Linked DNA regions of Macaca fascicularis. The protein of the gene in region 1 interacts with the protein of each later gene in a pairwise test. Links are inferred from orthologs where the notes say so. Each region holds a gene or a part of one and is shown in the gene's direction. Other genes may lie near its edges.

Region 1 (7,339 bases):
TGATATCCATAAAGTTAATGAGAACTCTGAAAGCAACAGAAACTGTGCTCTATTTGATAATGCAGGTTGGGTATTTTTTATTAGTTTGCAAGGATTAGTCTGATTAAATGCCCTTTAGCCTGACCTTTCTTACAAAGGTGTGTGAAAATATTGAAAACACAGTTTGTGTTTTAACCAAAGAACTTATTCTATGGTGCATGACTTATTCATCCTCCAAAACCAAATCTGGTTGGGGCAAAATTTTCTATAATAATTCCATTTTTAAAATAATGTTAAAATTACTAGAACTCCATTAAAAGTGTTTTGGGGCTAGAAGTCGTGTTTACTTAAGTTAGGCAAATCAATTCAGTTATAATTTATTCAAGGGTAAACACAAAATATTCTATATTCAACAATCATTTTTTAAAGTTTTTCTGCTTACATTCATGTTTATAAAATGTTTGCATTTTCAAGGTTTCTCTGAGAATATTAAAAGATAATGTTGTACCTATAAAAAATTTGCATGTGAAATAAATGGAAAACATGTAGTAACACAGAGCCATCTATTGAAAACACGTGGATCTGATGCTGGATGAGTGTATATGTAGGGCCCTTGGTGTTTACCTTTATTTAGTCATATTCTGTTTAAAAATGGGCAATATTTTGTGAGTTAATTCTGAAGCACATTGATTTTTAAGGGTCAATATATTTATATATCTTTATTTTACAATATCCATCATGTACTAAGTACACAGACTTTTCTAAAGATTAGGTTAGAGTTTATTTTCTTTTGATTTTTTAGGTTACATAAATACATTGCTTTGTTAGAATGCATTTTAGGTATTTGATGAGGGATTACCTGAGGAACTACAAATAATAAATCTTTAGTTTTGATATTAACTAGAGAAAAATAACGTGACTATATTTATAATGACTTGAAGACGTTATATAATAAAGTCAGCACTTGGACAGCTCTCTGTGGTATCTTATTAATCCTGTAATCATAGAAAAGATGGCTTTGAATAATAAAGTAATTGTTGTTGCTGGACATTATAAGATTTCCTACACCATCTTCATTCATGAAACTGGGTTTCTGCACGTCCCTATCCTCACTATATGCTTCTAATCTCTTGATATGCAAAATGTTATTGTAATTATTGTAAAATATTTTGTTCTAATTTACATTTATTTGAAAATATTTACAGTTTTTTGGCTGTGATTGGCATCGTATTCATCCTTGACTACAATAGCAAATCGTAGCCACCTCTTTGAAGTTTGAAGCATATTTTCCCTTTATATCCCTGTTGCAGACCAGGTGCAGGATGCATGACCCATCAACTACTAAACATTCTGCACACCGATAAAATAGCAAGAACTTTTTGTATATGTACTCATTTCTAAATAATAGCTTCTTTGAAAGTAACGTAAAAATCAGAAAGAGATTAAGAAGAACATCCAGAAAGACACCAATACTTTATAGTCCCCTATTACACTTAGAATAAAATCCAAATAATTTTCATTCATCGAATCCTGGATGTTTGTACACATCAATCCCCCACTCTTATTGATTCCATTCTTTCCCATATTACAGTAGTCACATTGAAACCAGTCAATTCCAAAAGTCAGCACAGTTCTTTCCACCACAGGGCTTTTTCAGTGGCAAGTTCCCGTGCTTAGAATGCCTTTCTTTGCACATTGCACACACTTGGTTCAATCTTTTTCATGAATTTTCACCGTAAATATCAGCTGCTTATCGAGATTGTATGTTTACCCTAGTTAAAAATAAAGAAACTAATGTCTTCCCTTGTAGTATCTTGCTTAACTCCTTGGTTCTTTCTTGACCTTTATTGCAGCCAGCAATTACCGTTTCTCTTGTGTACTTGGTTTTATTTGTCTTCTCTCATTAGAAAATATCTTTGTGATGACAAGGAATGAATGTGTATCTTGTTCATCAATGTTTCTCCAATTTTAAGTACTGTCCCTAGACTCTTTTCAGTATCCAATAAACTTTTATTGAATGCACTCATGCACAAATAAATTAAATATTTAACACACAGAAAGGTAGGTTGAAGCAGTATAATCTGGATCTAAATGGTGCTAATATGGAATTGAATTTTAATCTCAACTTCAGCATTCACTAGTCATGAGACAAGTTCTCTGTTTTGCCTCAGTTCCCATATTTATACAAACAGAGAAAGTAATACTTGGCTGGCATCTTTCAGAGTGCTTCTGCGAGGACATATTGAAATAATTGATGTGAGGCACGTTACATTATTTAAACATTATATAAATAAAAGATAATCTCCTAAATTTATCTAAAAATTAAATAAAAAGGAAAATATTTAAATTCAGTAAGAGAAGTTGGAAAAATTTCAGCATATTTTATTTGTAGAAAAGTTGGCCCTCATTCTTCTACATCAAAAGTAATGGGGGAAAGAATCAGGAAATGACTGCTTATGAAAAGAGAACCCAAGACTTGGGGAAAGATTATTTCCTAGCGATTGAGGAATGCAAGTTACATTTATGGCCACATTGGTAAAAGAAGGATGGGGCTTTTTTTCGGTCACAGTTGGTGATATCATGAGGGTTTAACTTTCCTTTAAATAGAGGTGGGATAATACAAAGTAGCTCAGCAACAGTACCTGGTGAAAGAGACTGGCACATATACAACGAGGAGAAAGGGGAGAATTAGAGCAAACGTGATTACCTATGTTCTAGTCTCTTCTTCTACATGTCTTCCCAATTCCTTCACAAACTGTGACTAATGAATCATATATATATATATATATACATACATATATATATATACACACACATATATATATATGTTTTTAAATTAAGCCCCTCCCAACCTGCCTTCCACAGATAGGGTCTGGGGAAAGGAGGGACAGATAGGTTACCAGAACTAATTCAATATCCCAATGATTCTACACCGGAAGAATGTTTCTGCACAATATTTCTCCGAGCCGCTTTTTTTGTTTATCAATGAACATCCTACTGCCTATCTGAGATGTAGGTCATCGGAAATACCAGCTGCCGATCACATGCAGTCTTCATTATATTTCCAGACCCAGTGCGCTGCTGATTCCTGCACAACTGTAGTGCGTCTGAGCTGTGTGAGGGAAAGGAGACACCTGTGCCTTAGAGACGCAGGTGAAGTCCCATCTACCTTCCTGAGACTTTCGCTGGCGCTTTTCCACCCTCTCAGCGGCTCACTTCTCATCTCCATCTCCCCTGTCCACTTGGACTCAGACCTCTCTGTTTAACCTGGCGCTTTTCCCGCCCTCTCTCTCCTCTGCACCTTAGCTGAAGACACAGAGAGCTCCACAGAACTGGGCATGCCTAATAGCCAGGGAAGGCTTGGGCTGCAAGAAGAAAGCGTTTGCATCTTCCGAGCTCCCCTCCCCTCTGCAGCTGCCTCCTGCCAGTCAGGCGACCCGACGTGCACCACGGCCCAATGAGGGCCCGCGGCCTTCGCCAGCGCCCCGCCTCTCCTGGCATCACCACCAATGAGTGGTTGGCGGAGGTGGGCCGCGCCCTGTTCCCGCCTCTCCAGTTAAGGCCGCTGGTGTGAGCCCGGGCTCGGCGCGAGCGAGGGACGACGGAAGGGACGGGCAGGTGTGGACGCGGGGCCACGCAGCCCGACGGCGGGAGTCGCAGGTGCTGGGTGCATGGGCCAGTGAGGACGCACAGAGATCCCCTCGCCGCGCAGAGGAGGAGCAGCGCGGGAGCCAGGCGCTGCCCCACGACCCTGCGTCCGAGCGAGCGGAACCTCGCGCTTCGCCCGGGGACAGTCCGAAGTCCGCGCTATGGAAGAGGAGAAATATTTGCCTGAGCTGATGGCAGAGAAAGATAGCCTGGATCCATCTTTTGTGCATGCATCGCGCCTTTTGGCAGAAGGTAGGACTTGCCCCCACCGATGGGCACAAACCGCCGGCTGCCTATTTCACCCTTGGCTTGATTAGGGGAGTGAAGTTGGGGAGGGACTCCTGTCGCCGCCTTCGCAGAAACTGTCCCCCTGAAGATGCTCGTCTCAGAGCTCGGGCGGACAGACCCCGTTCTTGGGGCGGACAGCAGTGCTCCTTCTCCACGTCTTAATTTGGAGAAGACCAAAGCTACGGAGATCTAATGGCAGTGGCGATGTGACCTGTTAGGATCGTTGATAGAGAAACCGTAAAGTGTAACGCGGTCTACAGGGACATTTTCACTTCGCTGAGGGAGGGGAAAGCAGTTTGGAAGTCAATGGTGATCAATGTAGTGTTCTAAGAGCTTTTTGGCTACAGATCAGTATTTTTATTTTTATTTTTTACTGCATTTAGGAAGTGATGTTTGATGCCCTTTAATCAAAGTCTATCCTATGGAAAGTGTTAGAATTAACCTATGCATTAAACTGTGCATGTTCTTATATGTATGTTAATGTAGTAAGTAGAGGCTAAAGTGCTTATACATTTATTTGAAGTGTGATGATTGGGTACTCTGCGAGATACTGGTCCCTGGGAACGCTCTATAATTGATCAACTGTTTTACCAAGTGTGCATTTTCTTTTGTGTACCTGTAATGTTAAAGGAGATTTCGTTCCCAGAGGAACATATATGTCTTGTCTTTTGCATTGCTTTGAAAGGTTAAAAAAAAAAAAGACACACAAACTTTATTAACCAAATTACTCCGTTTATGTTATAATAATGCCATCTAAATACTCAAGACACCTATATCTGTAGTTATTTACACATGCCTTTTATAAAACAGCTGCAGATTTTTTTAGATGAATGCTTCATTAATAATGAATTGCTTCATCATCAAATTGGTTACAGTGCAGTTTTGTAGCTAAGGTTGTTATGGACTTACATACAGCAAAAAACTAAAAGGGATAACTTCCTCTACCCCAGCTCCTCAGTATTAAAAGATTTTTTTGAGACTTAGTTGTACCAAGGAAGAATAAATTCTGCTCCTCAATATATGATTTAAATCGGTGTTAGCTATATTTTTAATTGATGGATTGTTATTTATGTTAACAATAAAGTGTAAGGTTTTTTTTATGTTTAAATGCTAAACAGTTAGAAAAAGATTTATAGTCAAAACATGGAACATGTGAAATAACTGAACTGTTTTCAGGGAAAAAAGCTTGTTTTATAGATAAGTGGGAAGGTGAAATACAATTATGCCTACTACTTTGGTTACTGAATGAAAAAAATAGAAATTAAAGTGGAAAAGTAAAGTCAATAAAAATGCACTTTTTTGCTTTCTCAAAAAAGACAACTACATAAAAATAATAGCAAAATAATGAGTTAATAGATGTTTAAGATTGTTTGAAATGATTTAAAAGGCAAGTCTTACCAGTCTTCAGTATCTTTAATATATTTTGAATAGTCTTCAATGTATTTTCCAGAAATTTCTTTATGTAGCTGATAATATGTCTTTAAAGTGAAAAAAAAAAAAAAACACTTACAAATTGATCGTTCTCTCTGACCCGCTAATTAGAGTTCTATTTGAGACAAGTGGCTCAAAGATTAATTCATCAGTCATTAATATGAGTTATTGTACTTGAAGGCGGTCAAGCTAAATAAATGCGTACAAGAAACTCTTAACAGAGTGCATAAGTATTTCTTTGTCTGGTAAAGCAGTCAGAGAAGGCTATGCACTTGGTTCCTTAACATTTTATCTTTCCTAGGAACTTGATTTCTTGATATAATACTTAGGAACATGTTCTGATGTTCCTTGTAATTTGATTTTTTCCCAGCAGGGGGAAGCATGCCCTGCTTTTGTAAAGAATTAGAAGGAAAAGCTCCTGAATAGAGGAAAGCATCTAAGTAAGAAACAAAGAGGGTACCTAAATTTCAGAGAAATCAGCATAAGGAAAAGAGAATGGAGGAGGTTATAATAATCTTGGAGTACATAAAGAGTTATGCAAAAGGATGCATAAGTTTTAGATTACCTCAGTACTTGGGACTCTTTACATGTGCTTATTAAAGAGTGTAAGATGATTGTTCTTGGAATCTCAATGATCTTAATGTATATTTTATGGTATAGATCTTTCATTATCTTTCCAAAGGCCAGTTGCCAAGATGTCCACACATAGTTTCAGATGTCTATAGAAGAGTATCATTGAGGTGATTTTATTTCTTATACTTGAGAATGCACTGATTGAAGGCAGTGGCTATAAATAAACCTGACATAGATATTCATTTGGAGAGAAGGTGCATACTGAAGTACATTTCAGTCAGTACTGTGCAGACAGTGTCAAGCCTGAATGAGTAATAAAAATGATACAGATGATTCAGTTCTTCAGAATGATTTTCCGGAAGCTAATATCTATAAAGGCAGTAATATAAACCAATGAGCTTTCACAATGATTTATTTTGCATTTTGATTGGTGATAGATGCAAATCAGGGCTCAATTGACAGTGCTGCATGTAGAATTGAAGGCTGTGGGGTTGAAAGTACTAGTTGGATGTTTATTTGGGGTTTTTGGGGGGTCCATTGTAGTTTATTTCACTTGTTTCTGCTGTGTGTTTTCCATAAGAATGATTTCAATTGATTGTTACTCAGAAGAAATCTTGAATAATGTAGTTTGAAGTTTGTTTCTAGTATGCTTAAATAATTAAAATAATGTTCGTCCTGCGATTATAATGTTGTTTAGTTATCCACTTGTTATGGTAGGTGCTTTTGAATATGATAAAACAGCAAACTCAGGACTATCTTTAAAGTTCTACTCAGAGTCTGAATTTGGTTGCCAGATGAAATTACATGAGGTTATTTATATCTATTCTGCTTCTGGGAAGTGCATTAAACTGTGAATCTAGATACCTGGATTTGAATTCCACTTTAACCTCAACTGAATCTGGGTAAGCTTTCTTTCCCTGGGCCCAGTTTCCTTGTCTCTCAAATTAAGGAGTTGGACTAAGTGATGTATATGGTTTTTTTTTTTGTTTTTTTTTGTTTTTGCAATTCTAATTAAGTCTCAGACTACTGATGGATACAACGAAGTGATGTTTGTATATTCGGAACAAAAAATCAATGGCTGCACATTTTCAAAACTTTTTTCATTCTTTCCTAGTTTAATGATTAATAATATATTTATGGCACTAAAATGTAATTTGAGGTGTATATTTTATTTTGGGTATTGGGGACAGATTTATGTTCTTAAGTCTATTGAACTACTATTAATGTTTGAGGCCAAAAATATATATACATGAGAATATTGTCTGGAAATATTCTATGTCTGCTGACAGACATAGATCTGTTTGGATTTATATATTCAATTACAGTGATTCCATATTCTTAGGAGCATTAGAAATTTTTGTCCAATTGAGAGCGGTTTGGGGAAGACTTCCTAGCCTGAAATCTTTGCAAGCATTATATG
Region 2 (7,311 bases), about 29 Mb from region 1:
TCACCTCCAGATTGTGCTCAAAGTAGCTGAGTTTCTCAGAGGAGTAAGCCCCATGAATCTTCCCAAGATACTCTTGGAAGCTCCGTTCCTCTTGGCTCATTAGTTGCTCCTTGGACATCTCATAGCTCCAAGGAGGACGTCGAGGAAAGTCCAGAACTGGGAAATCAGGAAAAAGTCCAAGTGTGAGGGAATTTTTAGGATTCAAGAGTACATCCCAGACCCCTCCATCCTCACACTAGGCTCTTACCTTTCCAAACTCCTTCCCCAGCCCAATACTTGTCTTGCTCTCACTCACCTGAGCCAGGCTGATAGACCTCCCGGATGTCCAGCTCCAACACCTCAGCACTGACCGGCTGTAGAACTTGCTCCCGGGCTGCTCTCTTTCTCCTCTCTACCTCCTCTCTGCTGTCTCTCTCAAAATGCAGTCGGTATCTAAGGGAACAGGGACCGAGACATCCAGCGCAATCCTGTGGCCACAAACTCCTATTTTCTCCCCTCTTGGACAATCAACTTCGCAAAGCATTCTCTCGTCGTTCAAGTCTCCTCTCTCAAATCAGCCTTCCCCCAAGTCCTTCTTTCAGGCAATACTCAGCCTCCTCCTTCTAAAAGCCCAACTCTCTCCAGCCCCTCTGGAAAGCAAGATTGTGGCCCGCACTGGGGAGCCGAGGGGCTAGCGGAGAACTGTGGCATCGCAGGCCCACCGTCTTCACCAGCAGCAGCCCGCTTTCCCCCAAAGCTCTGATTTCCGGGTAGGCGGGAAAGCCGGGACCAGCGCCCCCTCCCACCCTCACCGATTTGGGTCGTAGCCTCGTGGACCCAGCCCCTGAGAAGGCTGCTGGTTAAGCCTGCGGATATGATGGGTCACAGACTCCCCGTCCGAGGTGTCTGTCTGTTCCTCTCGCCGCTCCCGGCTCCCGCTGCGGCTGTTGGAACTGGAGCGCAGCCCATCTTGAAGCCCTGCGGGGAGGGGCCGGTGACGCCAGTGCTGGCCAGCTCTCAGGGGCCATAAGACCCTCTCCCCCACCGGTCTGACTCTTCTTCATCCCACTCAACTTCTTCCGACGCTCTGTCCTCCCAACCACCCTATTCGGGACCCTCCCGGATGTGCGTGGGGGGGAATCACTCCTCCAGGGAGCAGTAGGGACGGCGCCCCGTGCGAGCTGGAGGGATTCCCCTCCCCCAACTCTCCATCCTTCCCCACCCCTTCCAGATGTGGGGGGGTGGTGTGGGAGATCCCCTCCGCGATAGGCCGCGAGGGTTGGCGCGGTCCCACGACCCCCTCCCACGACCCCCAGAGGTGCAGCGGGCACACCCCTCCTTCCAGCTGTGCGGAAGCCCGAGCCCCGCCTCCTCCTCCAGCTCCCGCACTGACCTCTCTTCCGCTCCCGTTTGTCCTGCAACTGCTTCTTCTTTTGCTTCACGCTGAAGGGCTTCTTCCTCGGCATGGCCCGGACCAGTCACCTGGCCCGCCCTCCGCCGAGCTCCTGCCGCCTCAACTGACTGCCCCCCGGGGCAGTCCCCGCCGCAGGGGCCCGGGACCCTAGAGGAGGCGGAGCTAGCAGGTGACGTCAGCGGGCGGGCCCGACCGAATTGCCGCCGCGGCGGCGATGGAAGGCGGACAGGGGAGATACACAGTCACTTCCCTCCAGGAGCGAGGCGAAAGGATGATGCGGGGTGGGCTACTGGCACGTGAGAGCCAGTGGCACGGAGAGAGCACCCCGGCGGCGAGGAAGGAGGCGCGCGTGGGAGGACCAGGCTAACTCCGTCACGGACGCTACCAACTCGCGTTCGGAGGAGGGGGGAGCGCGTGTCATCACTACCTTGCGCTCCCGGGAGAAGCTACCACTCACCTGGAGGGGGCGGCGGAGCGGAGGGCGGGGCCTATTACCTAGGGGAGAGGAGGAGTGGACTCGCTGAGGCTACACTCCCAACCCCCAGGCTTGACCTTAGTGGAAAGCCGAGACGGTGCGTCCCGGGAATGAAGCCAGGTTGCTGGGCTACACCGGGGGCACGGTCAGAGGTCTTTAGGGGAGGGCGGCGGTCTGAAGAGTCCTGGCTGCCGACCTGCTGGGACCCAAATTCCTTGTGGGAACGATGATAAGGAGCAGGTTTACAGATCAGAAGTGCAAAAGCGGGCGAGAAGCGAAACCCAGGCGGGACAAGGGCTTTTGGAGGGAGGTCAAAGGGCACAAAGTTGTGCCTGCAGCTGTTACCATAGTAACCGAGGACCGGATGTGGCGATCTTACGGTGCGACAGTCCTCTTCTCAGGCCTTCTGGCCCGAGAGCCTGTTGACTCTGTGACACACTCTGAGGAGCTGGTTGTGGTGTTTTCCAGCGAGGGAAGAAGAGCGGAATTTTTTCAAAGCATTTATAGAAACGCAGCAAAGGGAAGGTGTGAGGTTGCCGCCATGCCTGGCAGAGACGGAGAGAGGCAGTTTACTCCAGAATGCGGCCGCCACAGATGTTCTCCGCAACCTTCCGGAAGTGGAATGGTGGGAGCTTGGGCATTGCTGCCCACCGACCCCCCGGAAGCGGAAACAGAATCCCCGCGTGCCCCTTCCTCACTACCCTCCAAATCCCGCTGCAGCCATTGCCGCAGCCACGATGCCGAAACGAAAGAAGCAGAATCAGCACCAGCCACCGACACAGCAGCAACCCCCACTGCCCGAGCGGGAAGAGACTGGAGATGAGGAGGATGGGAGTCCCATCGGTGAGGGGTCAGGGAGGGATGTGCACATGCCTGTCAAGCCCGTCCGGGCGAAGGGCTAGGGGCTAATAAGGTGCGAAGGAAGGGGCTCTAACGGAAGGAGGAAGGGCGCACGCGCTGGGTAGGGATGGCAGCAGGGCTGTCCCAAATGGAGCCTTGAACCAGGAGTTCTCTTACTGGAACCGTCAACCTCAATACGGCCCCAAACCTTTCTGGAACGCGGGGGTGGAGAGAGTAAAGAGCTCTTTTGCGCAGCCGCAGAACAGTAGGGGAAAGGGGCAGTAGAGATGTTGCAGATTGCGATGACTGGGTTGACAGTTTGTATCCGGATTTTGACTGAAAAGGTACAGGTGCCGCTTTCTCTAAACTAGTCCTCTGGCCGAGTGAAAGGAGAAGAGAACTGACTGGCCAGCAGTTAAGGTGAGGGATTGGTTTATGTCTGGAGACACTTAGGTTGTTTTGGATAGCGACGGTACGGTGAGGAAAAGAAAAAGTTGTATCTTTTCCTGCATTATCGCCTTTGATTGAATATCTACTTTTTGCAAACCCTGAAACAGCTTTGCAGAAAAAAGAGCAGATAGATGGGGTGAGAACTCCTAAGACTGCTGAAAATATACCTGACTTTACTGGTTGAATTAAGAAATGAGTAATACAAGAAAAACGCCTAAGAACAGAATCATCAGTCCTTTAATCCATTCTGATGACCATATTTTCATGTCTGCTCTTAGGACCACCCAGCCTTCTGGGCCCTCCCCCCATGGCCAATGGAAAACCTGGCGACCCTAAGTCAGGTGAGGAGGAAGGGGCCCTGATCCTTGTATTAGGTCGCGGATAAGACGGCAAGGGAGGGGATAAAACCCAGGAAGGACTTAAAAATCAAAAGGTCAGGGATTCCATCCCTAAATGAATGGAGAGAAGTTGTATATTTGCTGGCTGAAAAACTCAATGTTGTAAAAATGTCACTTCTTCCCAAATTGATGTATAGACTTCATGCATTCCAAGTCAGAACACCCATAATGTTTTTGTGGAAATACACAGTATTATAGGGAAATGCAAAATATCAAGGTGAGAGACTGTCAAAACAATCTTGAAGTGGGAGTGCGTACTATGAATATCAAGATTTGTAAGCTGGGCATGGTGGCATATGCCTGTGGTCCCAGCTACTCAGGAGGCTGAGGTAGGAGGATCCTTTGAGCCCAGGAGTTTTTGAGGCCACTTGGGCAACATAGTGAGATCCTGTCTATAAAAACAAGAAGGAAAAAAGACTTACTATAAAGCTACAGTAGTTACAACGATGCAGTTTGGACACAATGATACACATAAGTCAACAGGACTTATGTCCCGAAGAGTCCAATAACAGGCCCATACATGTGTGGACACTTCATTTATGATGAAGATGGAACTGGAAAGTTGGTCTTTTCAATAAATGATATTGGATCAATTGGATATTCATGTTAAAAAATGGAATTTCACCTTGTAGTCATAATCATATTGTATAATGGACTGTAGATCTAAGTATAAAAGGTAAGAGAATAATTATTCTAGAAAGTAAATGTATTTTCTAAGAGTAGCTAAGAGTTCTTAAACAGACAAGAAATGTAGGTATACACACTAACCATAAAGGAAAGATTGATAAATTGAACTCCATTAGAAAATATAAATTTGCGGCCAGGTGCAGTGGCTCACACCTGTAATCCCAGCACTTTGGGAGGCCGAGGCGGGCGAATCACGAGGTCAGGAGTTCAAGACTAGACTGACCAACATAGTGAAACCCCTATCTCTACTAAAAAATACAAAAATTAGCCGGATGTGGTGGTGTGCGCCTGTAATCCCAGCTACTCAGGAGGCTGAGGCAGGAGAATTGCTTGAACCTGGAGGCGGACGTTGCAGTTAGCCGAGATCGCACCACTGCACTCTAGCCTGGGTGACAGAGTGAGACTGTCTCAAAAAAAAAAAAAGAAAGAAAGAAAAGAAAATATAAACTTGCCAAATAACGCCATTAAGAAATTAACAGGAAGCTATACAATAGAAGATATTTGCAACAAATATAACCAATAAAGATCCTTTATCTATAATATATAAAGGATTCTTCCAGACAAGCCATTTGAAAAATCGATCAAAAAAAAAAAAAAAAAAGGACACCTTATTAAAATGGAGCTCTAAATGAACTAAAAGTCTAAATCAACAAGTACTCAATATCATTAATCGTCAAGTAAATGCAAGATAAAAATATACCACTTTGAAATTAGAACTCTTGTGTACTGCTGCTGGGATTATAAAATGGTGAAACTACTATATAAAACAATATGAAGAGATTCCTCTTAAGCAATTAAAAATATGTATGTATGACAAAAAAAATTAAAAATAGAACTACCCCAGAACTCCTGCTTCCAGGTATATAGCAAAAAAAAAAAAAAATGGAAAGCAGGGTCTTGACATATTTGCAGACTCATGTTCATAGCAGCAGTATTCACAATAACAAAGAGGTGGAAGCAGCCCACATGTTCACTGATGGAAGAATAAACAAAATGTGGCGTGTACATACAATGGATTATTATTCAGCCTTAAAAGGAAGAAAATGCTGTCACATACTACAACATGGATGAACTTTGAGGACTTTATGTTCAGTAAAGACATAGTGTATGATTCTGCTTATCTGAGGTGTCTAAAGTCAAATTCAGGGGCCAGGCGTGGTGCTTCACACCTGTAATCCCAGCACACTGAAGGCCAAGGCAGGTGGATCACTTGAGGTCAGGAGTTCGAGAACAGCCTGGCCAAAATGGCGAAACCCCATCTCTACTAAAAATAGAAAAACTAGCTGGGCATGGTGGTGCATACCTGTAATCCCAACTACTCAGGTAGCTCAGGCATGAGAATTGCTTGAACCTGGGAGGCAGAGGTTGCAGTGAGTCGAGATTGCACCACTGCACTCCAGCCTGAATGACAGAGTGAGATTGTCAAAACAAAAAATAAAAATAAAGTCAAATTCAAAGAAACAGTAGAATGGTCGTTACTAGATGCTGGGGGAAGGAAGACAGAAAGGGGGAGTTTTGTTTAATGGGTACAGAGTTTCAGTTTTGCAAGATAAGAAACTTTTGGAGATCGGGCATGGTGGCTTACGCCTGTAATCCCAGCACTTTGGGAGGCCAAGGCAGGTGGATCATGAGATCAGGAATTCGAGACCAGCCTGGCCAACATGATGAAACCCTATCTCTACTAAAAATACAAAAATTAGCCAGGTGTGGTGGTGGGCACCTGTAATCCCAGCTACTCAGGAGGCTGAGGCAGGAGAATCGCTTGAACCCAGAAGCCGGAGGTGGCAGTGAGCCGAGATCGCGCCACTGCACTCCAGCCCAGGCAACAGAGCGAAACTCCATCTCAAAAAACAAACGAACAAAAACTTGGAGATCTGTTTCACAACAATATGAATATACATAACACTACTGAACTGTACACTTAAAAATAGTTAAAATGGTAAATTTTATGTGTTTTTTGCCACAATAAAAAGCAAACAAAACGAGGCATGATGACTCATGCCTGTAATCCCAGCACTTTAGGAGACCAAGGTGGGAGGATCACTTGAGCCCAAGAGTTCAAGACCAGCCTGGGCATGTGGCAAGACCCAATCTCTCATTAAATAAATAATAACCAAACAAAATAACCACCACTTTTCACACTCACCAGAATGGCAAAATTTAAAAATCTAACAATTCTAAGTGTTGCCAAGGCTATAGGACAACTACTGGTGGGAGTGCAAATTGCTATAACCACTTTGAAAAAAAATTTGGCATTATATGTGAAACTTGAGCATAACATATACTTTATAACCCAGCAATACCTCTACTATGTATATACTCAACAGAAATGCATACGTATGTGTAACAACATGTATAAAAATGTTTATAGTGGCATTTCTCGTTATAGCCCCAAACTGGATACCACCCACATGTCCATCATCAGTAGAATGGATAAATAAGTTGTTGTGTATGCATGCAATGGGACTACACTGCAACGAAAATGAATGAACTACTGCTACAGGCAACCTGGATGAATCTCACAAACATGATGTTGAGCGAAAGGAGCCAGACATAAAAGAATGCAGACTGTATGATTCCATTTTTGTGAAGTTCAAAAACAGGCAAAAACTAACCTATGGTGTCAGGATAGTGGTTACCTTTGGGGAGGAGGGTGGGTAATGGGAAAAGGGGCACAAGGGGAGGATCTTTTGAGGTGCTAATAAGGCTTTATCTCTTCACCTGGTGGTGGAAACTCAAGTGTGTCTACTTTGTGATAATTGGGTTGTGCACTTAAAACTGGTGTGTCTTTAAAACCGCTGTTCTTCAATAAAAAAAATTTTTTAAATCAGGGCTTATCAGGATTCAGCTGCCCATTGGTCACCTTTCTGTGTCTTTCTTTCTCTCTCTGTCTCTCTCTCTCTCTCCAGCTCTTCACAGAGGTCCTCCAGGATCAAGGGGACCACTGATTCCACCACTGCTGAGTCTCCCACCTCCTCCTTGGGGTAGAGGCCCAATTCGGAGAGGCCTTGGCCCCAGGTCTAGCCCATATGGTCGTGGTTGGTGGGGAGTCAATGTTGAACCTCCTT

What was found. The genes of interacting proteins can lie anywhere in the genome.
Region 2: the proteins of KHDRBS2 (region 1) and PRR3 interact in binary tests that used the Homo sapiens proteins (3 or more experiments, as listed by UniProt). The two-hybrid records come from large-scale screens. The link is inferred for Macaca fascicularis from reciprocal best matches to the Homo sapiens genes KHDRBS2 and PRR3.

What each region holds. Positions count from the first base shown.
Region 1 is NC_088378.1:112,614,875-112,622,213, forward strand, and holds the start of KHDRBS2 (KH domain-containing, RNA-binding, signal transduction-associated protein 2), read left to right. Parts: upstream 1-3,549; 5' UTR 3,550-3,788; coding exon 3,789-3,879; intron 3,880-7,339. UniProt on the Homo sapiens protein: RNA-binding protein that plays a role in the regulation of alternative splicing and influences mRNA splice site selection and exon inclusion. Binds both poly(A) and poly(U) homopolymers. Phosphorylation by PTK6 inhibits its RNA-binding ability.
Region 2 is NC_088378.1:142,095,059-142,102,369, reverse strand, and holds the start of PRR3 (proline-rich protein 3), read left to right. Parts: upstream 1-2,605; coding exon 2,606-2,711; intron 2,712-2,972; exon of another isoform or gene 2,973-3,128; intron 3,129-3,436; coding exon 3,437-3,499; intron 3,500-6,632; coding exon of another isoform or gene 6,633-6,671; exon of another isoform or gene 6,672-7,073; intron 7,074-7,152; coding exon 7,153-7,311. Other genes in the region: GNL1 (guanine nucleotide-binding protein-like 1), read right to left, coding at 5-156, 296-432, 792-957, 1,373-1,445.